3 linked regions of the Lepisosteus oculatus genome follow. The protein of the gene in region 1 binds, or shares a complex with, the protein of each later gene. Links are inferred from orthologs where the notes say so. Each region holds a gene or a part of one and is shown in the gene's direction. Other genes may lie near its edges.

Region 1 (7,858 bases):
AGAAGCGAGTAGCAAAGCATAGATCGGGTGGCCGTGATTGATGACGGGGCTGTCATGAAAACCATGACTGGAAATCAAGCCCCAAAGGATTGTGGGAAACCTGTGAGATGCATCGTGGGATTTCAGTTCTCACACTTGTGTCCGAGCTAGGAGCCGGTGGTTCTGTCTTGCGGCTCTGGAAAAGAAATTCTACCAAGCTTAGTCCAAAGTGTCCAGTTCTGCGTGGGTTGGTAAATTCCGTTGGTTCTGGTCTTTTTTTTTTTTGCCGAAGTAGGTGTGGGTCAGGATGGAAATAAGAACATGACGTTTTCAAATGAAAGAAGGACCATTTTGGTCATGTGATAGTTTGGTAGTAAATGGAATACAAAAGATATGTCTGGATGTTTCTTCAAGGACATCAGAGTTTGGGTCTCAGCCACCCGACTTGAAAGTCTGTTCCAGGTAGCTCTTTATAAAAAAACGTTTTTAAACAGTTTCAAACTTCTCAGTTCTTATGCATTTTCAAGCTTTACAACAGACAATTCCAGTGCAAGTGTGTGCTGGCTGGGGTAAGTGTGCAGTTCAGCGCTTCAGTGTCCTTGAGGAAGTGTGTGTCCTTGGGTGGACAGTGTGTGTTTGACAACTGAGATAAACTGCTTTGAACTGGGAGACAGGGAAAACAGACATCTTTGTGCAGACTGTGAGCAATTCAGTGTGTATTGTTGAGCAGTGAGGCTGCATTGGTATATAAGTCTATGTTGGAGTGTGTTCGCAGGATAAAATTAGTGGTGAACTGTACAAAGTCTGCTTTTTTAACAGAAAAAAAGGTATTCTCTCATTTCTTTGGGGGTGGGGGCAGGATGCAGTTCACTTTGAGGACTTTGCAGTTATACTTTGTACTTGGTGCAGCTACATTATACCTTGTAATTGCAAACTGTTTTAACAGAGTTAAAGTCCGTTAAATTCATACAACCGATTGTGCAGAACAAGGTAACTAGTATGACCCTTTCTTTACATACTAACCTGTGTGCTCACAAATGCAGAACACTGCCAGTTTGTCCTGGGCAGGTGATATGTCTGAGTTGTGTGATTGTATGTGTGTAGGCTGCTGTATCCCTGGGAACCCTGTGATTGATCTGGGAATGTGTGTGTGTGTCTGTCCCTTGCTGTCCGGGATCCTGAATGCTTGTGTTTGCGGTGCAAGAGTACGTCTCCACTAAGATAGTAGGATGATAGATGATGTGGATAAATCTAGCAGCTTTCAGATACAGAGAGAGAGTGAGACGGTGGACAGAGAGAGGGGGGAGATTTAGGATTGAGTCAGGGGGGCAGGATGGCAGAAATTCGGACTGACTCACTTTGGAAGGTGGAGTGGAGAGGATTGTTTCCTGCATACAAAACGTGTCAACTTCCATTCCGTTTTGACGGCCACAAACCTTAAAAGAGCAAGTGGGCGTCCCTGCAGGTGTCCCCAGGTCTATATATATATAAATACCCGAGCCCTTCCTAACCAGTTGGCATGCCACCAGACACTTTGTGCTCCACAGCGCCCCCTCTCTGCTACGTATGCACATTGTCATTTTTTTCTTCTCTTTGGGAATGATGAACCTGTATATATCCAGTGTTGTATCCAAAAAAAAAGGAGCTTTAAAATGCAAACGAATGAGAATCCAAATAAATAGTCTTCTGTTACTTCAGCTGCCATTTTTGTTGTGTTTTTTTAAAGTCACAGCACCTTCCAGGAGTTCGTCTTTCTCTTAAACTTGTTGTGGGTGTTGAGGACTTGTGTGTTGTAGTCCTGCAGTATCAGGAATGACCAGGGCACAGTGTTGAGAGGCACGAAGGTCTCGGAGAGGGCATACACACACAATACCGGTCCAGGAGGAAAGAGATTGTCCACATCTTGACCCCAGTCCTTTTCTCTGCTGTGAAGAGAGGTGGGTAGCCGATATGGTGGCCACCAATGACTGGCCTTGTTCGTATCTTACAGACAGTACAATTCAGGGGTGTGGGTCAACACTGTTCAGGGGCCTTTTTAAAGTAAAATGAACTTGGTTCCCCAGTTTGCCTTATGAGTTATCACCCATAGTCAACAATACTTAAAATGCGTCCTCAGTGGTCACTTTCTTGGGGTGGGGACTGAATTGCAACAGTTTAGCAGGGGCTGAAAACAGACCTGACTGACGTGTGAGGTGTTGTCTCCCTCCATTTATTTGTGCACTGAGTTTAAAAACAAACCCTAGCACCTCATCGCCAACGTGTCATGTTCTGCCAAATAACTAAATATATTAATGGTGTGCTTTGTAAAAAGAAAACCCCTACAGACAAGCATCCTTTCTTTAGCTTTTGGAGTATTTTAATGTTTTCCCTGTCTTCTCGTGTTCTAAATCATACATAAGTAAATATTACAACACCAAAAGGAATTTCAACCAATTCAGTGGAATAGAATACATATAAAAAAACACGTCTTCTTAAAACACACTGAAGTGCATGAAGCACCCAAAAAAAAATATTTTTTTTTACAACAAAAGTCTTGTTCACGCCGGAAATGGTCAAAAACCAAACAAATATGATTCTACCAATACCTTTACGACGCTCTCTTTAACTGAGGTAATCACCTTTTTGTAAAAATAACAATAGCTATAAAAAAAAGGATCTTAATGACCCTTCGTAGCTGAGTATTACAGACTCCGATGGAATTCGGGGGTGTGCTGTAACATTTGTAACATCATTTAACACTGTAACTAACGTGTAACATTTGGGAAGTATGACCGTGGATCTGTACAGAAAGATATACACATATTTGACCAGGCGTTATGGTGTTTTGAGAAAACTGTGCCGAGACCGCTACCGTTACAGCTCGGACCGGCGCCGTCGCCCGGCATCTCCCACCCACCCGCGAGCTGCTCGAGCAGTTCACCGTCACTAACCCCCCCAAATAAAACTTCAAGAGGAGGTGCCGAGCGCTGGCCAGCTGAGTTGTTTAGTCTGACTAGAAAGTGGAAGTCAAGGGAATGTCAGCCACAGGGCAACGCCGAAAATGAGCAACTTGTCTCCTCCCCAAGCCCAGCGCTGCGCGAAATCGACGCTCTGTCCAAGCGCTCCGGCCTCCAGCTCGGTTTTTATACCTCCTCGCTAACAGTAACGATCATTGCCATCAGTTTGATTTTTTTTTGGTATAGAAAAATTGGAGGTCTTTTTCCAGATAGCCGAATTTTATTTCCCATGCCAGAATGTTTGAAAACATCCTGATCAGAAGGTTTCTTATTAGGACAATCATACAATAATACATTGCAGCCTGATTGTCACGACAAAGCCGAGTAGGTGGATAATTGATTTAATTACAATGATTAGGGGAGCTCAGATAAATCTCGGTAGATACTGTATCCGGTATTATCTTTTTTTTTTTCTCATTCTCTTAACGATTTATTTTCTGTATATTACAGGTGCAGGCAGACATTACCTAGACAGGTGTCAGTTTTCGCAGTGCGAAGTCATTTTTTCACCTTTAGCCTAATCCGCGTCTCAGGCCACAACTATATTTCCACGTAAGAGATTTGTCACAGACGGGCCGTGATCCCTCTCCTTAAACCCATCTGAAAAGACCACCAATGAGCAAGAGATGTTTAGAAATCAATACTCCCACGACAGTGCGCGAATACAATACCCCAAATTCACAATAACTGTAGTCAGAAGTGCGACAAAACTAAGATTTCTATACAGTCCGGGGTGAAGAACTGCAGCCCGACTGTTTCGTAAAGCGCTCTCTTTTGAAAACGGAAAAAATTCCAGTTTGTCAGCTGTGTTCGGGTTGTCACCCCTGACACCAGTCGGGTTTATAATGAACTCTCAGACAATGTGGTTTATTATTAGCTGTACAACATCTCAGAGCCGCCTAACCGCCGGAACGAGACAACGGGTGTCACTGGGTGTAATATGATACAAAGAATGACAAACTGCCGCTGCTCGCAAGCTGCTGTCAGTGTAATTGAATTTTAATTAAAAAAAAGTAACGCAAGCAAGACATTTAAATGGAAATTCCTGGTGCCTGTAAAACGAAACGCGAGGTCTGACATGGGAGGGGTTTGAACTGAATTCCATTCAGGGTGTGAGTTTTTAACTTATTATTTTTAATGTCGATTAAAAAGAATCTTGGGTCTGCGAGTGAAAAATGTCAGTCCAAAGACTAAGATATAGGGCAAGCTGCCATCATTTTTGCAAGAATAGAAGAACTGCACCGTCTAACTTGTTCAAGACATTTTGCTGAGACGTACGACGATTAGAAAGTTGTTAGCCGTTTGCACCTTGCTCGTTGGCATACACCGGCGGGCAGTTTCATGACAGGAGAAACAGAATGGGAGCTTTGTTTCCTGATTAACGCTAGAATAACAAGGACTATTCAGAACAGTCACCTATTAATTTATCTAAGCCGGGAAAACAAAATCAAACATTTAACGCGATACGAACGTCGTTATGATAGCTGGGTGAATTAATTCAAAAATAAGCGATATAAGTAAGTTCAGTCGCCAGTGCAGAACAAATGCGCTTGTCTGCATATCAATAATAATGATAATTTCAGATACTGTTTTGCGTGGGCGGCGTGCACAGACTAGGGAATTTGAACATGGAATCCGAACATTTGTAGCACCCGATTAGCAGCTCGCCCAGTCTCTGTCCCCGTTTTCGGAAGGGTCTTTTTTCCTTGCTGGGGTTCCTCTGCCCAGTCAGAGACAGCCGGACAGGGAGAGAGAGGCGGACACGGTGCCTGCACCAGCACCACCACCACCAGCAGCAGCAAGCTGAGTGAAGTGTGAGGCGGGTCGGTCTCTCGGCTCAGTTTCAGCTCTGCCACTCCCAGCACGGGCCCCGGGAGCGCGCTGCGCGTCACCCTCGCCTACCAGCCACAAGGAAGGGATACAGCGAGTGAGACAGGGAGTAGGAGTGGGGAAGTGCTGGGATATTGTTTTTGAAATCGACAAGGAAGGAGAAGAGGTTCTTGGAGACTGCCCGTTCTTAAGTTTCGACTAAAACCGAGGCGCCCGGTGCTCGCTATGGAGTAGAAGCCGAAGGCGATGGAAACGCCGTGGAGAAGTTTGCTGGTGTTGCTCGGAGCTGCGCTGGTCGTGACTGCGGGCACACGGGGCAGGGAAGGTGGGTTGACTTTGAAACTTTCATTTCTCTTCAGGGCCACGAGAGACGAGAGAGGGGAGGGAGAGAGGGCAGGAAACGCGGGGGGAAAAAAAACTCTCGGGGGAGACTTTGTGTCCCCTCGATTCACGTTTTCCCGAGCGTGAAACTTTTCTTGCGCGACTCGAAAATAACTTTCCAACCCCCAGCCGCGTCGCGCCGCGCCGCTCTCTCCCACATTCGGTCCAATTCGTGGGGACTTCCCTGGATGTGTCAGTGCGATTTCAGGCGCGATTTCAGGACGGCTTGGGTGCTGTTTAAAACTCCGCTTTCTCGAAATATGTAAACACTATAACTCGAAGCCAAATACTTAAAGGAGGTGTGTTTGTGTCGGGAAGGGGAGTGTTAGAAAATACTCACGGCTGCCTGAGAACCTGCTTTGCGACTCTGAATGACGACACTCGAGTGGAAACAGAATAATCCTAATAGCGAAGAAGAATACCTTTCTGTAGTAAACAAACCCGTATCCCGTCGCCAGTATAATCTTGGAAACCAGTCCTGACACCTAATAATTACAGCCCCGAACTGCGGCGGAGATGCCGCAGAGAAACGCCAAGTTGTGTATTGACATATAAGCTAATAATAAACTAGCCGGGCTTCAGATTTGTGTGAAGTATCGATTTCAGAAACAATTGTATAAGCCTATTTCGAAATACAGACGTTGAGCAAACTTTGTAGTCAAATAGGCTATTGGCTACGGAATTTGAACTGAAACACTCCACATCTCCCCTCTACAACCCTCTCCAGCGATGCAGCACTCTTGTTGTGCTTGGGCACAGTCAAAACAAACTTATTCGCTGCTGATATCTGGTTCCAGGTTGTGCACAAGGCGGTGGTGATGTGTGTCATATTCTTCAAGTGAGTCTGTAAGGTGGCATTTCCTGTTATCCGTGAAATAATAATAATAAACTTTATTTTATATAGCGCCTTTAAAGGTGGCTTCTCAAAGCGCTTTACAGGATGACAATAACAATAAATAAGAAGACTACAACAATAATTAAGAAGATTTCACAAGATAGGACACAATTATAATTACAACAATACAACAATAACAATAGAGGAGACCGTGGAAGGTGGTACTAAGAAGAGCAGAGGGGTGAAGAATGGAACCAGTTAAGTAAAGGCTTTTCTGAAGAAGAAGGATTTGAAGGAGTTTAGAGAAGGTGACTCTCTAATATCCTTGGGCAAAGAGTTCCAGAGCTTTGCCCAAGGATGCAGTTGTTGAAATGCAGTTGTTTTCTTACTGACCGGGCACTATATGTGTCGGCTTTATTTTCCATCCCAAAATATTAAGCCTACTTTTATGGCAAAAAGTCTTTCCATGGAGTTGAGTGTTTTGAAACCTTTCCTTTGTAGAGACGGTTTCCACCATCTTTCCCTGTGGAGGCCTGTTCTGCCACCCTGAGCTCAGGCACTGCGTGAGCCTTTTTAACACCCTGGCTGTTGGAAACGCTGTAGTTTTGAAATCTCGTGCCCAGTTCTGGGTCGCACACTTCCCACTGGTTTTTCCCAGAGTCTCTCCTCCATGGAGATGCAGTCCCATTGGCACTTCCAGTTGCCAGTTGTTTTTTTTTTCTAAACAGCCGAATCATTTTTTTTCTATTTTTCCGTTTTTGCAACAGCCAACTTGTTCCTGTGGATAGAGTAATTTCAAGTTCCGCAAACCCAAACCCTTTTTCCCACAATCTTTAAAAATAGGTTTTAGAGCCTGAGAGTCTGTCGGCAGGATTCCGACGGGTTAGTTATGGGATGCAAAGATTCCCGCTGTCGTTCCCAATGCCTGAAGGAAAGCAGGGAAGTATCTAAACGGATTCTGGGCATAATGATTCCAGATGGGCTTCTCAGCACTGCGCAAGGGCGATTGTCTTCCCCTAAGCATTTTTCAGAGCTCCTTCTGGATGCTGAGGATGTTTTCAGCAGCCCTTTCCAGCTTCTCCTCTGAAGCTAAGAAGACTGACCCTCAGCTTCATGGAAGAAGACATCCTCTTAAAATTAGCAAGCGGTCATTTTTCAGCACAGAAGATGGTTATAATCTCTTTTTTTATGTGGCAATATCTTTTGCCAACTGGACTGTGATTTTAGCCTGCATTTGGCCAGTCCAGCATTGTACCAGACGAATTGGTTTCCCTCTGTTTTTCCAGCTTAAACTCTTCTGGTCTTTCCAGACGTAGGCTTCTATGTCCTGTACATGCCAAAAAACCTGGTGCTGGATATTTGCCAGGGTTGTCTTTTAATAATGGTTAAGTGGGTCTCAGAGCTGTAGATAAAAATATGATAGATGTTGTTTTCAGTCATGGGTATTTTTTTCTACAAAATCCTTCACCTAATAAATCCTCAAATGGATCAAAACAGATTTGCTTGGCTTGCAGTAAAGATGCGCACTGCCCTAGCTCTTGTGGATTCTCATTGGCAGACACAGTTTGTCACAACATTTGCACATTTACGCCACCAGCCACCTTTTTGAGTGACTTATCCTTGGCAGTTTGGTTACAGTGTAACGCCAGTAAAAAGGGACATGTTAACCGTCTCCTGTCCAGCAATAGGTAACCTATTGTTATTTATGCGTAGTGCTGCCTCTAAAGGAACTGAAATACCATTGCTTAAGCTTCCTTGTTTCCTTGTTTTCCTTCATGCGCTGTCTTTATTTTGCAGAGCATTGTTTCCTGGTGGGCCGTTTTTGTCTTGATAATAA
Region 2 (7,374 bases), on another chromosome or scaffold:
GGACTGGGGATCCCTGCTCTCTACACTGTGCAGCCCCGGTCCTCAGTGCTGCTCTGGCCTAACCTCCTAATCCCCTCCCCAGCAGGAGATCCTAATTCCACCTCTGGTGCTTTCTGAGGTGCCACATCACACACTATTAGACCAGTGGAAGAACATGAACCACTTTAATCTGCTGCGTCAGCACCCCGTTAGCAACTGTCCGCTGTCACTCCATCACCCACGCCTGTCGCTCTCCGAGGGCAACTTCGACTGTTTCTCATTTTCCAGCCGAGAGACGACTACAGTGTCCCTGGACGTGTGGGAACCATCGGAGCAAATCACCTCCCCGCAGACAAATCCTACACACCAGTACAACAGAGCTCTATTGGTGACTGACGGTCTCTCGCACAGTCCTCACTTTCCCTTTTATTTCGCGGAGGCACAGAGAGCTGGAAATCCTGTCCCACGTCCGGGACAGTCCCGCGGGAACTGGGCCGGCGTACCTGTTAGAGACGGGCTGGGGGCAGGGGGCAGCGTGCCGGACCTCCCCTCCTCAGCCTCCTCAGTCTCTCGCTGCTCCTTCTCCATCTCACCATCCCAGACGCCCTGCACGGGGGGCAGAGAAAGACAGGCTGGCTCGTAAGGAACAGGGAGTCCACTTCATCAGCAGGACACACAACCCAAGCCAAGACATAAAACCACACAGCCAAGCGTCTGTCCAACGGCTGTAACAGGGTCAGTCATTCTGCAGGGCACGGCTGAAACGCTGCCAGGCTCCAAGCTCTGCTGATCAAACTCAGGATTGCAGAGCTGATTGGAGGTCCACCTGCGTCAGGGATGATCCCGTCCTTCTTTAAACCCCTGGCCGCTGGCAGGTCGGGTCTGTGACCGTGTGGTCCGAGCTCTGGACGAGACCAGCAACACCACCGCGGACCAGAAACGCAATTAGTGATCATGCGTCTGTCATGTGACGTGCCTGGCTAGTCACATCTGAAAGCCTTAGTTTGAATGACTCAAACCAGGCCTAATAACCATGCAGATTACCCGGAGCGACCTCAAAACACAAAGGGCTTTCTGTCGAGATCTTTAAAAAAAAACACTAAATACGTCAGTTCCAGCAAAGATGCAGATATTTTTAGGTTTTGGGAGACAGCAGACATGTGGCCACTGCGCTGTTCTTTAACAGACCTGTAACCAGCTGTGTCTCAGAATAAACTGTCGCCTCTAATGCTCATCACCGTGCTTCTGAAAACGCTTGATTTGTGGCGCTCTGGATACGGGCGTCTGCCTCGTTGTTCAAGCACGTGAGAAACGTTTGCTGTGACGTTAATGAAAATGAGAAATAGGTGTTTTCAACCCATTATTTTTCACAAAGCTGTTCCGGGCTCTTGAGATCGCGGAAACTCAGACCACTGTCAGATAAAACAGATGAATCACACCTGCTGCCTTGCAGGGTCTCTGACGACAAAAACGCAGCCAGGTCAGTGACCACCGGTCTTACACGGACTCCCCAACACGGCTCGTCCTGCTAACGCCACGGAGAGCAGCCCTGCCTGCTGAAGGGCCGTCATCGATTCCAGGTTGTTTTTCCAAGGAAAGTCACCTGGCGGTTCCCGTCCACAGCTTCCCAGCTGCTCCTGGTCGCTGGGAGACGTCCCCAAACGCCTGCCAGGGAACTGGTTTGCTCCACCAACTTAAACGGAGGGCTTACAGAGCGAAGGACAGGAACGGGCGAACAACAACGTCACGGACTGGAGTCTTTAAAAACGCCTGGGAGAACGCGAAAGAAAACCCCGTCTGATCCCCCCACCCCCCGCTGATCAAAACACAATCGTTACTCTACATCACCTTCCAATATAGCACAGCTGTAGACGGCACGTATAAATAACCGCACAATTTCGGAATGCCGAGACTTTCCGCCGCTCCTCAGGTCTGCGGTGTTATTGCTGGTTGCCTCGGCTCGGCCAGCCCGTTGCGGTGATCAACACCCGGGAAGGAGTCTGTCTTGGTAATACAGGCGATTGTAAACACGGCTGTAAACACAGGTTCACCCACAGCACTTACCGAGGAAAAACGAGATTGTTTTCGGCTTTCCGATCCTGTCAGAAGGTCTGTTCCCCAAGGAGGACATTCAAGTCTTTTAATTGGTTTGCGGTCGGTTTAGTGTGTGCGGCGTCGCCGGACAGTGAAGGCTTGTTCTTTAATTGGATTTATTATTTTTTTTAAATGCATCAGCAGACAGCATTGCAACCCGGCCTAAAGCCCATAGCTGCACATAACACAGCCTCCTGCGTCTGGCTCGTCAAATTATTAAAGAAAGAGCTGTCGACTCCGAAATAAATAACATAAATAAATAAATCACAGACTTTAAAAAGTAACCGGTAATAACTATCTAAAACTTAATGAAGAAAAGAGAAACGGGGAGTATTTAAATAATCAAACTCTACCCCACCAACTGAAAAACTAAATAAATAAAGACAACTGCAGAGGTACATCCGGAATCGGAGACGCCGGCTAAGTGACACCTCGCACCAGCCAATCGGACGTGTTCTTCCAGGCAGGGGGCGGTGAAGTGGTGAGAGGGCGTGCTGATTGGACGGGATGTCCCGCTGGCCTTCCAAAATCCTCCAGTTACAAGACCATAGACACGAGGTTTGGGCAAGATAGGCCCCGCCTTCACTTCCTGTATTCTGCGCGCGTAGGATGAAGGGATACCTATGTACTGTATTGTGGAATTTCATATATGTGGACTATATATATACACTATATATGCATATGTGGAAATTCCTCATTTAAAACTGTTGACTGAAACAGACGATAATTGAGCACGTGGATAGTGCATCGACCAGACACTAGTTTGGACAAATCCGCTGTCTTTCCAGCGCATTCCCAGAATTAATAACACTTTAATTGGTCAATAGTATGTCTTACCTGTTCTGATATACAAAGAGAGGACACGCGTCAGGTCATTTACGCCTCCTACTTTGAGTTCAACCGTATTTATTTAGCGAAAGGCAAAGTTCCTCAGGCCATTGATAGTTTCTGGTCCAGCTGTGTGGAGGGTGAGTAGTCCCCCACTGAGTCTGTGGACAGGACAGGACAGGACAGGGTTCGGCTCGGCTCTAGGATGTGGTGCAGAGTTTGGACCATGACCAGTGACCAGTCCTAAAGCAGCACAGAGTGGAGAAGTGTTTTCCTGGGAGGTGCGGGCTAGGGGATTGCAGGGTAGGGCATGTGATGAGGCTCTTGTTTGCCAAGACCAGTCATTCCCAAACGTGAGCCCACGTGGAGTCTGCATTGAAGTCTTGCTCGGGCGAGCGGGCGAGGAGCATGTCTGGACCCTTTTGAGCACGTTGTGGGTGATTGCTAGTCGCGGGACAGGTGGAGGAGTGCTGTCTGCTGGCACAGGTAGCCAGGGGACTGCGGTGGTGCGAAATTAAGAAACTCTCGACTTCCAGAACACCAGCTGCAATAATAGTAAATATTCATGGATGTATCACTGGTTCATCTATTATTAAGAAAATGCTTTCAAACGGATCGCACGCTGTCTTTAATTAACCACTCAGATTCCATACATTACAGCAGGGCTGGTCTGGTCCTCTGACGTCATTCCTGTCAGAAAGAGGACAGTTATCCCCGCATTCAGCAAGTGCAACTATCAAGAATGTCCTGAGTTACACGGGCTGTCTTTATTCTTCTCATGATGTACACCTGAAATACAGTATATTCTTGTCGTCACTGTTTCCGATAACCTGAGATTGTTCAGGAAACAGCTGTATTAAAGATCATCGGGTCCATCAGCTGCATACACACCACTCAATGCCCTCTGCTTATTTAACCTTTGTCAGCTTTTTCCTTCTTTTTACCTCGGTAAGGAGCCGAATATCTCTTCCTGCTCGTTGGAAACAGGTTTCTGAGACCACACAGGCGGCCACACAGGGGCACTGTTGATCCTAATACACTACTATAAAAATCGGACTCGTCTAGACTGTAACTCTGTGAGAGCGGCTGGACAAAAGATTATTGTTGACAAATATTAAAAGCATTTTAAAAATTACCCATGAATGTCCTCCTCTATGGGTGCAATTGCATACTATGCCAACAGGCCTCCAGTCCAGTACCAGGCACTGCGGTCTGGACCAGAGACACTGCCCCTTCGGGCTGAGCGCGCTTCCCGGAGACCGAAGTTAGCGTCTCAGACTCAGGGACTGTAGCCTACAGAATGGCACCCAAGTCCACCAGAGGCACAAAGTGCTTGTTGCACGTACACCACACGTCTTAAAACCCCTGTGCTGATCTGGCCTTGCGCACTGATGCTGACGGATAACGGCGCTGCACGACCATTTCTGACGCGCATAAAATATCGCCATACAATATTTCTTGAATCGTGCAAAGATGATTTTTTTCTGTGTGTAGAAATAGAGAGCGCTGGTGGGGTTAAAGAGCCTTCAGGGGTTTGACTCCCTAGCGCTGAGCAGGGCTCCAGCCGGTCAGTGTGACGGAGGGTGGTGATTTTACAGGTTAGAACGCGCAGTTCTTTCAGCCTCGGTTTATTTTGTCGAAGGCGAATACAGTTGCTTGAGCCGAGACCTCGTCTCTCAGCTCCGGCTCGCTGTTCCGGGCGGCGCCGCTCGCTGCCCTGCTGCGGGGAAAACGCGCTGTCCAGCGGAGGGTCAGCGCGCCGGACACCGGCCGGCTCGGCGCCCCGCTCGCGGGAGCAGGCTGCCGCGCCGCCGGCAGTCCGACAGCTCTGGCGCGTTTCCAGTGATTGAAAAAACACTTCCTTGTCCAGATGTGACCGAGAGCACCTTCACTCTCGCACGCTCCGACAAGAGGAAGAAACTGCTGAGCCCCGGGCTGCACGGAGAGCAGTCTTGACGCGCAGTGGGCTCCAGCGAGCTGGAGGAGAGCACTTTGTCTCTTTGAGGTGAGGAGGTCCGGCTCAGGCGCGCACAGCGCAGGAGCTCTTCACAGCCCTGCTGACCATGAGGCTGCTTCAGTGTCGACTCGTCTGCGTCTAGAGAGCGTCGGGGTTTCCTTATTTCTCGCTGTTTTGTTTTTTGACTCCGCGACAGCCATGGACCACCGGCACCTGGCGGCGTTCGTGGAGAAGACGAGGGCCCAGCAGGCGTCCGGCTGCGGCGCCGAGGACCGACTGGCGGCGGAGTACAGCGTGAGTGCGCGCGCCCTGTTCTCTCCGGTACCGGCGGCCGCGGGGCTGCCAGAAGAGCCGCGAGGCGGTCCGGTTATTTACACGACGTTAACAGCGAACTTTTATTTTGTAGCGATTTGAGATAAAAGCGTAGCTGTATGAAGTAGCACTTCAGAAAGTTTTTAACAGGCTCCGTTGTAGCTCGACGTATGTGCACCAATAATAGTACGTACTCCGAGAGCTACATCACTCGGTATCATTTTGCAAAGATAATTATCAGACTTTGCCTGACAATAACAGTGTTTGTAGTGCTGGCAATCTGAAACGCTCTTTGTAAAATGTTGATATGGCAACGGTTTGCTCAGAGCGGTTTCCCTTCTGAATTACCGGGGCGAAGCGAAGTGAGTTGTGTAAGACTTAGCTGTACGCTCAAAGAAGCTGGAAGGCAGGACTTATTTGACAAGATGGAGAGAAGCCCGGGGTTCCTCTACAGGTGTCCAACAGGGCAGGACCGTGGGCCTGAGCACCATTCACTTGGTGAAGATTTATTGCTCATTCAAATTCTGCGGTTCTCCTTGTCTTGTAATGGTGTTATTCGTCCAGAAAGGCCTTTTGACCGTCCTGTTTTCTACTTGAAAGCACCGTTCAGGTCAGTGGTTGGACGCTTGCTGAGCTCTGAGGTGTCTGCTCTAGTGCTCCCCGGTGTGTGGTTGATTGAGCCACAGCTGAGAGGCGCAGGGCCTTGCAGTCTCCTGACTTGAGCTGTTCTGCTTCTGTTGCATTTGTGTTTGAACGCCTGGAGCTCCAGCACTTTCAGTTTATTGTCAGACTGGCCTTCTGGTTTTGTTATGAGACAAAACCGGCGATGCTCAGGATCCCGATAGCAGAAGTCTTGAGTCTGTTTAATTCTGTTCTGATTATCTTTACGCTTGTGAAAGTGTTTGAGGAGGCAGGGGCTGGAGTCCAGTTCCTCTGTCTTGTGCAGGAAGGGGTAGTGCCCAGGGGAAGGCCATTCGAGACCCTTTTGCAGTGGCACTCCAATACACTGTACCCTTGGAGTCAATGCAGCTCCACGCCGCCTCAGGAAACATGACAGATCGAGCCAGCAGACAGTCAAGCTCCTGACAGGATTCCTGTTTGTTGTAGATCCACGCGTAGCACCGGCAGAGTCCGAGTGAGTTAAATCCACAGCATTCCTGCTCTCCGCTAGTGCAAGCAGCCTGCATGCCTGCACACACGGTGCCGGAGACCCCGCAGTGCCGCTGTGCCGAAGTGCAGGATTGCAATTCCTGGTGCAGTGTGTGAGGCATCCTGGGACCAAGGAAGAAGACCCAGCCAGCCAGGTCTGAGCCTAGCAGCACCCCTCCAGCTCTCCTGGAGCTGCCCAGCCTTTCTAGGCTGAATACTCCTTCATCGCGAAGTGAGTCGTGGTCTTTTATGACTTACACCCCCGTGGAGCCGACCTGCTGGAGTGGGTGAAGGTGGTAGGGAAGAGGTGAAGGCAGGCAGGCCGGTTCAAATGCAGCCGCCTTCTGCCATAGTCTTAACCTGCAGAGCCCAAGTCTAAGGCTGCTGAGAGCATGTTAAGACAAGAGCGCCGTGCCAGCGAACAGAGTAAGCAATGCTTCTAAATGTCTCCTGAAAGCTTAGCGTGTGCAGTTGCCTCCTGGGCTCTCACTGTCTCGGGCCTCTGTGCATTTCTGTCAGCCCACAGAAGCGCTCGTCTGGGCCAGAGTTGTAGTCCGACCTCCGGGCGCACTCAGATAACAAGTCACTACAGTCTCGCTTGATGTTTTCCCTCATGTAAGCCTATCAATGAGCTTAAAATAGACCCAAGAAAAAAGTGTTGCACTGTCCTGTGAACTGTGATTGTGGTCTCTGCTGTGCCACCAAGTGCAAGGACAGCAGAGGGCCTGAATTTGGTCTTTTCTTTCCCCCGGAGACAAGGCCGTGTGGCCCTGTGGGCTCTACAGGGTCATGCAGCTAAATCGGAGCAGGAGGACTCCCAGTGAGGAGCTTCAGTCCTCGACTCCAGATGGCACCAGCCTGTTAACAGGGCACGCAAAATGGGTATTTAATTCAAAGTGCGATTGAATATCTTCTGTCTTCCACTCATCACTCTCGGTATGAGAGTCTCCTGCAGGAGACCTCAAAGCCTCTTCTGCTCTGGGTTCTGGCCCTGGCTCAGAGAAAATCATCCGTTTGCAGAATCATACCGCAGACGCAGTTAACCTCAGTAAGGC
Region 3 (7,636 bases), about 1.8 Mb from region 1:
TGGTAGAGGGCTGGGCTAAAGAAAAAGGTTTGCTACTCTCCTTTCACATTTTCATTGTTCCAGTGATCCTATTTTTATCAAAGAATGGCCCTGTTTTTTAAGGTCTGGTGGCCATTGTTACGTAGTCTTGATTATTATCAATTCGGTATTTGACTCACACCATTGTTGTGGCACTGAAAGAATCCTCAGTTTGCTGCATCATTAGGTTCTGTAGCCCCATGTGTTACACAAGATATCTTTTAAACTTTTTGAGTTGAGCTACTTCAACTTATTGATTGTTGAAATGCTGAAAGCCACGTCACAGATAAAGCTCTAATAACTTAGTTTTAAATTATGCACGGAAAACCAAAAAAAAGTGACCTGTTACTGAGTAATTTGTATGGGGCAGTGATTATGAAACATAAGGAGATGTTAATATCTAGCACAGCCTTGAGCTGTGAAATGAAACTAGGCTCACCTACAGGTTTACGAGTTGTTGTACAGATTCTCAGGTGTGCAAGGAAACCATGTCTCTCTCGAAGCAAGAAGAGTATGCTATAGTTGCCTCATCTCCCTTCGAGCAGGTTGTCTGTTAAGTGATCTGGGCATTAGTAAAGTTAAACGAATAGCTCAGTCATTACTCTGAATTCACAAAACCACACATGTGGGATCTTGTTCAATGGTTTGAATATGATACAAATAATCCTAATAAAAAATAGACCACCTGTTAAGCTCTTTGTTTTTTACAAATCACTGTATAGTCTTTAAAAATTAGAAGGAAAATGGGTTTCCTATACAAGTGCAAAAAGGTCCTATTAGAGCATATAAAGAAATGGAATCCAATTCATTTACTCCCCATTCCTGTCCAGTGTGCTGAAATATGAGACTCATAAAGTCCATTTTCTGCTTACTAAAAGGCATGTCTAAAGAATTTTTGTATCTTCAACCTTGGATGCTCTAAGAGGGACACTTATTGGTGTAAACGGCTAGACAGTTGTATTTCATTGACAAAAAAACACCAAACCTGTATATAAATAACACAACTCAAGAATCCTCTTCTTCCTGGCCATTTACTACTTTAGATTTAATTTGTCAACTATAATGTAGCCATAGTGAAAGAAAAACAGTGATATTTTTTATCTGTAAATCATTATAAATATATAAACATTTAACTAGGCAGATTAATTTACCCTTTTTCGAATGTGAAGCTTTAAGTTTAAAAAAAATCTGTAAACATTGACATGCAAAAACAAAGATCTACATATGTATTTTTTTTCTTGAACTTTCCCTTTGGTTTTTAGTTTTGTTTTTTTTTAACCATCTTGTAACTCATCTGAGAAATGCACTATAATAAAGAGATCTCTATTACAATCAGTTGTATCATTCAAGTCATTTAGCTTTGTATTTCTTGCTAGCGAGCTAGCAGTTTCACAGGGAGCCAGTCTGGATCCTGTAGGATGGGGCTTTCATGTGGGAGGTGTGGTGGCACTGGTCAGCATCGGTGCCTTGAAGCCCTGGGTTCAGTTCCAGACCTGGGGAGCCGTCTGTGCGGAATTTGTTCTCTCCGTGTGCGTGTGTTTCCTCACAGTCCAGAGCTCTGACATGAGTGTGTGCGTGTGCCCTGTGGTGGGTTGGTGTGCCATCCTGCTGCTTGCCGGGATAGGCTCTGGCACCACCAAACCCCACAGCCCTGAATCGGAAGAAGTGGGAGAAGATGGATATTTGGGAATTATATGTGAATGCAGATTAATTTGAGTGATCACATGGGTCACAAATTTCTGGATATAGTGAAGCCTTAAGTAGTTTTCTAAGTGCCCCGCCCCCCCCACAACAAAGTTTTGTCCCTTATTTCATCCAAGAAATGCTTCGATACTGAGAGGCTGACACGAGAGTCTGAATGCAACAATGCTGTGCAGATACAAAAAAAAAACCACTCCAGTGATGCTCATAACGTGTGTCAAGGGGATTTCTTTAGAAACCCGTAAAAAAAGATGCAGTTTTAATTAACGCAAGGACGACGGGGGCGTACCCTGTTTGAATGAAGACCAGCCGGTTTCTACAGGCATCGTTGAAGGCAACCTGTAAGAAACACATCAGGATCTGGAAGACCGGTTTACAGCACCGCGCCAGGGCCGTCACCTCAATGCCTGACCACACAGGACCGCACTGTCGGGAGATCTGGAGTCTGCACTGAGACCGCACCTGTGCAGGAAGAGCAGCAGTGTCAGCCTACAGGCTGGTCAGGTATATCGGCTGCCAGGACGGTGTTCATTAATTCTGTAACGTCTTCATGGGGATAGCGTGACGTGTTAGATTGAAAACCCGTAACTTAAAAAAATAATAATTCTGGTCGTATTTCCTGTGATTTTGTTCGATATCTAAATTATTTTATTTCTGTTTCTTAAATCCATTAGTCCAGAATTGACTTTATTTTGTGCGTTTATAGAATTAAAAAAAAAACTATCTCGGAAATTCAGCTAATACTATCGACCTTGGCGTTTTGTCAGATCCCTGAATGATGCCCCCCGTTGTTAAGAGCACAGCCCCCGGGACGTGTCTGTAGCTTTGTCTCCCTCTACTGGAATTTCTTTGATCGGTATTTCACCAGGTCAAGGTTTGAGCTTTGAGGTTTGGTCAAATTGATCTATCAAGCGCGTCTGCCTGGTGTAACTCGCGCTTCGTGTCGCGAGTTCAGCGTCGCCTCCTGCTCTAGAACCTGAATTACACGAGCGATTCGGTCTCTGTTGACCGAGACATTTAAAAAAATATATATATTTGTCGTTTCTCGCTCGCTAATATAAAAAAAACGCTAGGCAGCGATGCTGTCGGCTGTCTAATAAACGGATCATGGACATTTCAGGAAAATCGAGAGATTTCGACAGCAATCGACAGTCTTTGTGACTGCATAATCATATAAGATAAGACATTAACAGAGCCTTTGATGTTACTGACAAAGTCTTCAAACGGCGGAACTCGAGTGCAGTAGCGCGCAGTGAAAACCTGCCACACCTGAGGAGACCTGTGGGCTCCTCTGGGGCCCATCGTGACCCTGACACGCATCGTCTTTTTAAACGTAGACATTTGATCACTGATTTTAATGTCACTGGCTGTTTACTCAGAATCCCACTACATTTTAAAGTGCACTGCTTTCAGTTTACAATTTGGAACTTAAGTAGCCCTGGATAAAAAAACAACAACAACAGTATTCATATTACAGGCTCTCACTGGACGAAAATTACGGGATGTCCTGTCTGCTCTCCTGTTGCCGACTGCAGTTTTGGGAGCTGTTAATCAGCCTCATCTAGAGACAGTGATCAGTCCTTGTGGATACCAGTGTAGGACAACGTTTTCCTGCGTTACCGAGCACGTAAAAAAACTGGTTCCGGAAGCGTTCCTGCATCGACAGAATGCCTTTAGGAGTATTCCTTCTACACTCAATAACCAGAAAGTCATGTAGACCTTCATTCATGGAGTTACCGAGTGCATGTTATGCTCTAAGAATGATCAATGACGAGATCGCTGTGGTTTGTGAGACAGCAATCTCTTCTGCACCGTGTCGTGAGACTATTTTCCTTTACAATAAATCGTTGGCTTCCAAATTAAAACGATGACACTACCTTATTGAAAGGAGTTATTTAATATATATATTTTAAAAGGCTTCAGCTGCGGAATCGTGCATTAAATAAATCTTGCTGTCTCCTGACTCGGGGAGTTCGCGGTTTGCGGGACAGACAATTTCCTCTGCAGGAGTGCAGTTCGTCTGTTTTCATCCCGGGCGCAGTTAAACGTTCACGTTGTAATACGAATCACAATCGCGTCCTGACCCGAGAGTACCTGCCGCACACCTCATGTTACTGAGATACCGTCTGCAGCTGACGGGTAAATCACAGTAAAATGGGAGCTCTTAATTAGAAGAGTTAGTGCGCCACAGGGACGCGCTGTCTTTTCTTTTTTTTTTAAGAAAAGCGACTCCCAGGGTTGAGAATTGACTAGAAAAAACCGTCTTGGTCAAACTTCCGGAGTGGAGTGGAAGTGTGCCCATGAACCCGCACGGATGATAGCACCCTCCCCACATCACGACCCGCTTACGGGCGGCCGCCGGGGCCGGGACGGGGTCCGGTGCCGAGAGCGCGCACCCCCACCTGTCCTCGCGGGGGGGGGGCGCGCGCGCGCAGTGGCCCAGCTCACCTTGCAGGTGAGCTCAAATCCGGGGCTCCTCCCGCCAGGGCCGGAGCGCCCTTGAGCGGTGACGACAGCGGGAGAGGCCGTGTGAGCGACAGGCGGTTGTTGAGTGAGGAACAGGATCTCCCGGTTGTAGGTAATTATTATTTCCACCGTCTGCTCCGGCAGCCTTTCTCACGTTTTTCCACGGGGTAAGTTCAAGTTCTTGAAAGCGGAGGGAACAAACGTGCGTCATGTATGTTGTTTCTCGGTTCTGTTTTCTAGGACGTTACGGGAGTTCGTCAGCTGCTGCTAGGCTGTGTTTGAGCTTTAAATGGGACAGTAAGATGCTGTTAGCTGACGAGAGAGCGTATCTCCTTTCTTCCTTGTAGGAGACAATGAGAACTTGAGATGGCGTACTATCCTATCCGTTTTTTTTACTCGCGTCTTGGCTTCAAATTAGCTGTTTTCTTCTCGTTTCTGTGTCATTTTGACTGCGGGCTTCTGTGGTGATCTGCTGTCTTTTAAATCCTTGGTTACAATGACTCAGGGCTGCACCGACCGGTCAAGTGTTAGATTCGAAGTGCTCCACACAGGGATAAACTCGTATTTTAATCCTTAGAGTTGTGGACGTTTTTTTTCTCTCTCCTTTAATCTGTGTTTTTGGAGCCTTCATGCTGTTTCCTTAGCGGTAGCTTGTCGATGTACGGAGAAGAGATGCACGCTGTGAAAGCATGCCTCTACAGATTCAAACTCTTGATGCAAAAAAAAAATCCTTGATCAGAGTAGAACAGACAAGTTTAGGTAGGGGTGTACCTCTTTGTCAAAGTTTAATTGCAGTGTTTTAAAGTGATTTGAGAGGCCCGTCTATTGGAAAAGTTAAATAAAAATTCCAACTGTTTGATGGCTTTTGAATTTGAAATCCACTTAAAGCTATAAAAAGGTGGAAACCAATCCAGAAGGAGGTTTTTTACCCGGTTGCTTGCATGTTCGTGTGCCTGAAGAGACGAGCTTGTGGAACCTACCAGAAGTGAGCTGTTCTGAAAGCAGAAAGGGACAGAAAGATTAAGAACAGGCCATCCGTGAGCAGCGAGTGGGAGAACTCTGGGGAGGAAGCACGCAGAAGTGATTAGATGCCAGCCGTTGGTGGCTGCGCACTTGAAGCGATTAAGGGCGTAAAGGTAAGAGGCAAAGCGAAACGTTGTGAAGCAGAGAACAGATGTCTTCTGCTGAAAGCATGGTGGGGTTCCTGAGCAAGCTGCCCATCCTTCTTGCTCGAGGGAACACCCTGGCCTGCTCGGAGAAGCAGATGGATGAAATCACGGTGTCACTCTCCTGCTCGCAGCTGTCCTTGCTGGATGGGCAGAAGGGCCTCATCGCTGTAACGTTTCTTTTCTTCCTGCAAGAGGAAGGCCGCTCCGTAACGCACGGTGAGCGGGCCGTCTTCACGCGGTTGTGCTTGCAGGCGCCTAAGGGAACGTCGAATGTTAAAACGTCCTGCATAAACGGGACATTGCTTCAAGTGCTGCCTTCACCTGCCCCCAGAGGGGTCCCCGTTCAGTCCTGCCTTGAGCAGCGAGGTTGTGCCCTTTGTGTTCGGCGCTGCTTTCGAGGTGCAGGCTGAGGGGGGGGCGAGCTTTCATCCCGGTCCGTGGCGCGCGCCGAAGCTGTCGACACAGGTGTGTGTTTTTGATCCCCAAGGAAGGCACGTGCCGGAGTGCCAAGATGAAGGCCCAGAGCTCGCAGCTGTCCAAGGAACGGATGCTTCCCGAGTCCTTGGCCTTGAAAATGTGCTCTTCTTTCAGGTTTCTTCAAAGGAAACTTTGAACTTTAACTGTCCTGAAGCACAAGTGCAGTTTACGTTGTTTTTTTTTTTTTTTAAACGAAGACACCGTGCATAAGTCTTGGGATTTTGTCTGCTCCCACGAAATAGGTCAGAGGCCCAGTCTGATTTCTTCAGGTTCCTGTGCTGTGGAAGGTGTCTTCAGTTAGTGTACAGCTGATTTCTCATCTGGTCAATGGTTGTCTGATCTCCCAGCTCTCTGTCTAGCTCCTCTCGCATTGCGTGAGTGACATGGGGGGCAGTCGATGTGTCAGTGGGCCGAGGCGCTAGGCCAGCCAGCCGGGCTGCTCTCTCTCTCGCTCGCCCGACTCTTCCTGCTGCTGCATGCTGCATGCTCGTCCATTTTCTGAACGTTGTGCTCTCCATCCTCATTCTGCAGCCCACTTGCATCTGAAAACGAGTGCGTACAGCTGCACATTGTAAATCTGTATTCAAATCCATACTTTTTAGATCTGACTGTTCTCATCATTGTGCTTTAAAACCAGATCAGGAGAAACTATGTTACACAAATTGTTGTGTGAGTTGGGAATGAACTACCCAGACGTGTTGATACTGATACTCTGGCTTCTTTTAAGAGCCAATTGGTAGAGTGCCTCAGATCAGCTATTCGCAGCCATATGATTTTGATAGGGAAGATGGACCCCTCTCATTTGTAACCTAACTTATGTTCTTACAGAGGGCCGTAACAGGTTGACCACTTTGAGTGGAATCTGGCAAGGACATTTCTGGACCTTCTAAGGACAGGATAACCAGAAGACATGAGAATCTCTTCACCCCAAGTCTGAAAATTGTTAATATTCTCTGACTATATTAGAAGTGGATCTGTTAGTCTGAATCTTTGAATATAAGATAAGATCACTTTATTGGCCATATACAATTTATTGAAGTAGGAATTGGTCTTTTTTTGCCCCAACTTGCTCTCCATGAGACACACAGACAAAGAGAAGCTTGGGGTCAGAGTGCAGGGTCAGCCGTTTATACGGCGCCCCTGGAGCAGTTGGGCCCCTGAGCAAGGCCCTTAACCCCAACGGAGTAGGATTCCTCTGCTGGTTGCAGGGTTCGTACCGGCAACCTTCCAGCCACAGGTGCAGATCCTTAGCCCCAGAACATACAGTAGCATTATTTGCAGATAAACCTGAAACCAAATTTGGGGTACATGTTGAGAGGGGTTTCTTGAGAAGGGGTCCCCCAGCCAGGAAATGTTGCCCACCCCTGTCCTTGAGGTTGTGTGGAGGGAGTGTTTTCTGCATGAGGCAGGCTGGGAGTTTCAGCGAGGCGTGCTGATAGTGAGTCAGTGGCCAGGGGTGAGTGAGAGTGCATTGTCTTAGTCTAAGCCATGTTTCATGTCCACACAAAGAGCAGGTTGTACAGCAACAGCTGCTGTCGATTCCACACAACTGAGCTCATCGCACGTACTGATGACGGCAAACAGAAATGACTAAAAAAACACCTCTGCTGTTGCAAAACTATTATTTCCCTTAAGTCAACCTTGCACCTGAAGTGTAAATACAATATTAAATTACTGATGCCAGTAATTACCAGTAAATTATTCTTACTCACTTCAGTGACTGGAAAGAATGCTCTTTGTCACAGTAATTATTAAGTTTCAGTTACTGAACAAATAAAGTTAAGCAGTCTTAAAACAAAAAAACA

What was found.
Region 2: the proteins of erbb2 (region 1) and ptpn18 are in contact, whole or in part, in a crystal structure (PDB 4NND), measured with the Homo sapiens proteins. The link is inferred for Lepisosteus oculatus from reciprocal best matches to the Homo sapiens genes ERBB2 and PTPN18. Residues at the interface, in NP_004439.2 of Homo sapiens: Leu1109, Gln1110, Arg1111, Tyr1112, Ser1113, Glu1114; in NP_055184.2 of Homo sapiens: Arg61, Tyr62, Lys63, Asp64, Val65, Arg138, Asp197, Arg198, Ser230, Ala231, Gly232, Cys233, Gly234, Arg235, Arg268, Ala273, Gln276.
Region 3: the proteins of erbb2 (region 1) and grb7 are in contact, whole or in part, in an NMR structure (PDB 2L4K), measured with the Homo sapiens proteins. The link is inferred for Lepisosteus oculatus from reciprocal best matches to the Homo sapiens genes ERBB2 and GRB7. Residues at the interface, in NP_004439.2 of Homo sapiens: Pro1135, Gln1136, Pro1137, Glu1138, Tyr1139, Val1140, Asn1141, Gln1142, Pro1143, Asp1144; in NP_001025173.1 of Homo sapiens: Ser437, Arg438, Glu439, Gln442, Arg458, Glu459, Ser460, Asn463, Gly466, Val468, Lys476, Lys478, His479, Tyr480, Leu481, Ile482, Tyr492, Phe493, Ser494, Met495.

The regions. Positions count from the first base shown.
Region 1 is NC_090723.1:5,670,384-5,678,241, reverse strand, and holds the start of erbb2 (receptor tyrosine-protein kinase erbB-2), read left to right. Parts: upstream 1-4,836; 5' UTR 4,837-5,051; coding exon 5,052-5,130; intron 5,131-7,858. UniProt on the Homo sapiens protein: Protein tyrosine kinase that is part of several cell surface receptor complexes, but that apparently needs a coreceptor for ligand binding. Essential component of a neuregulin-receptor complex, although neuregulins do not interact with it alone.
Region 2 is NC_090697.1:77,038,874-77,046,247, forward strand, and holds the start of ptpn18 (tyrosine-protein phosphatase non-receptor type 18), read left to right. Parts: upstream 1-4,311; 5' UTR 4,312-4,906; intron 4,907-5,054; 5' UTR 5,055-5,056; coding exon 5,057-5,152; intron 5,153-7,374. Other genes in the region: mon1ba (vacuolar fusion protein MON1 homolog B), read right to left, coding at 483-567. UniProt on the Homo sapiens protein: Differentially dephosphorylate autophosphorylated tyrosine kinases which are known to be overexpressed in tumor tissues.
Region 3 is NC_090723.1:3,853,923-3,861,558, forward strand, and holds the start of grb7 (growth factor receptor-bound protein 7), read left to right. Parts: upstream 1-4,629; 5' UTR 4,630-5,321; intron 5,322-6,553; exon of another isoform or gene 6,554-7,636. UniProt on the Homo sapiens protein: Adapter protein that interacts with the cytoplasmic domain of numerous receptor kinases and modulates down-stream signaling. Promotes activation of down-stream protein kinases, including STAT3, AKT1, MAPK1 and/or MAPK3. Promotes activation of HRAS.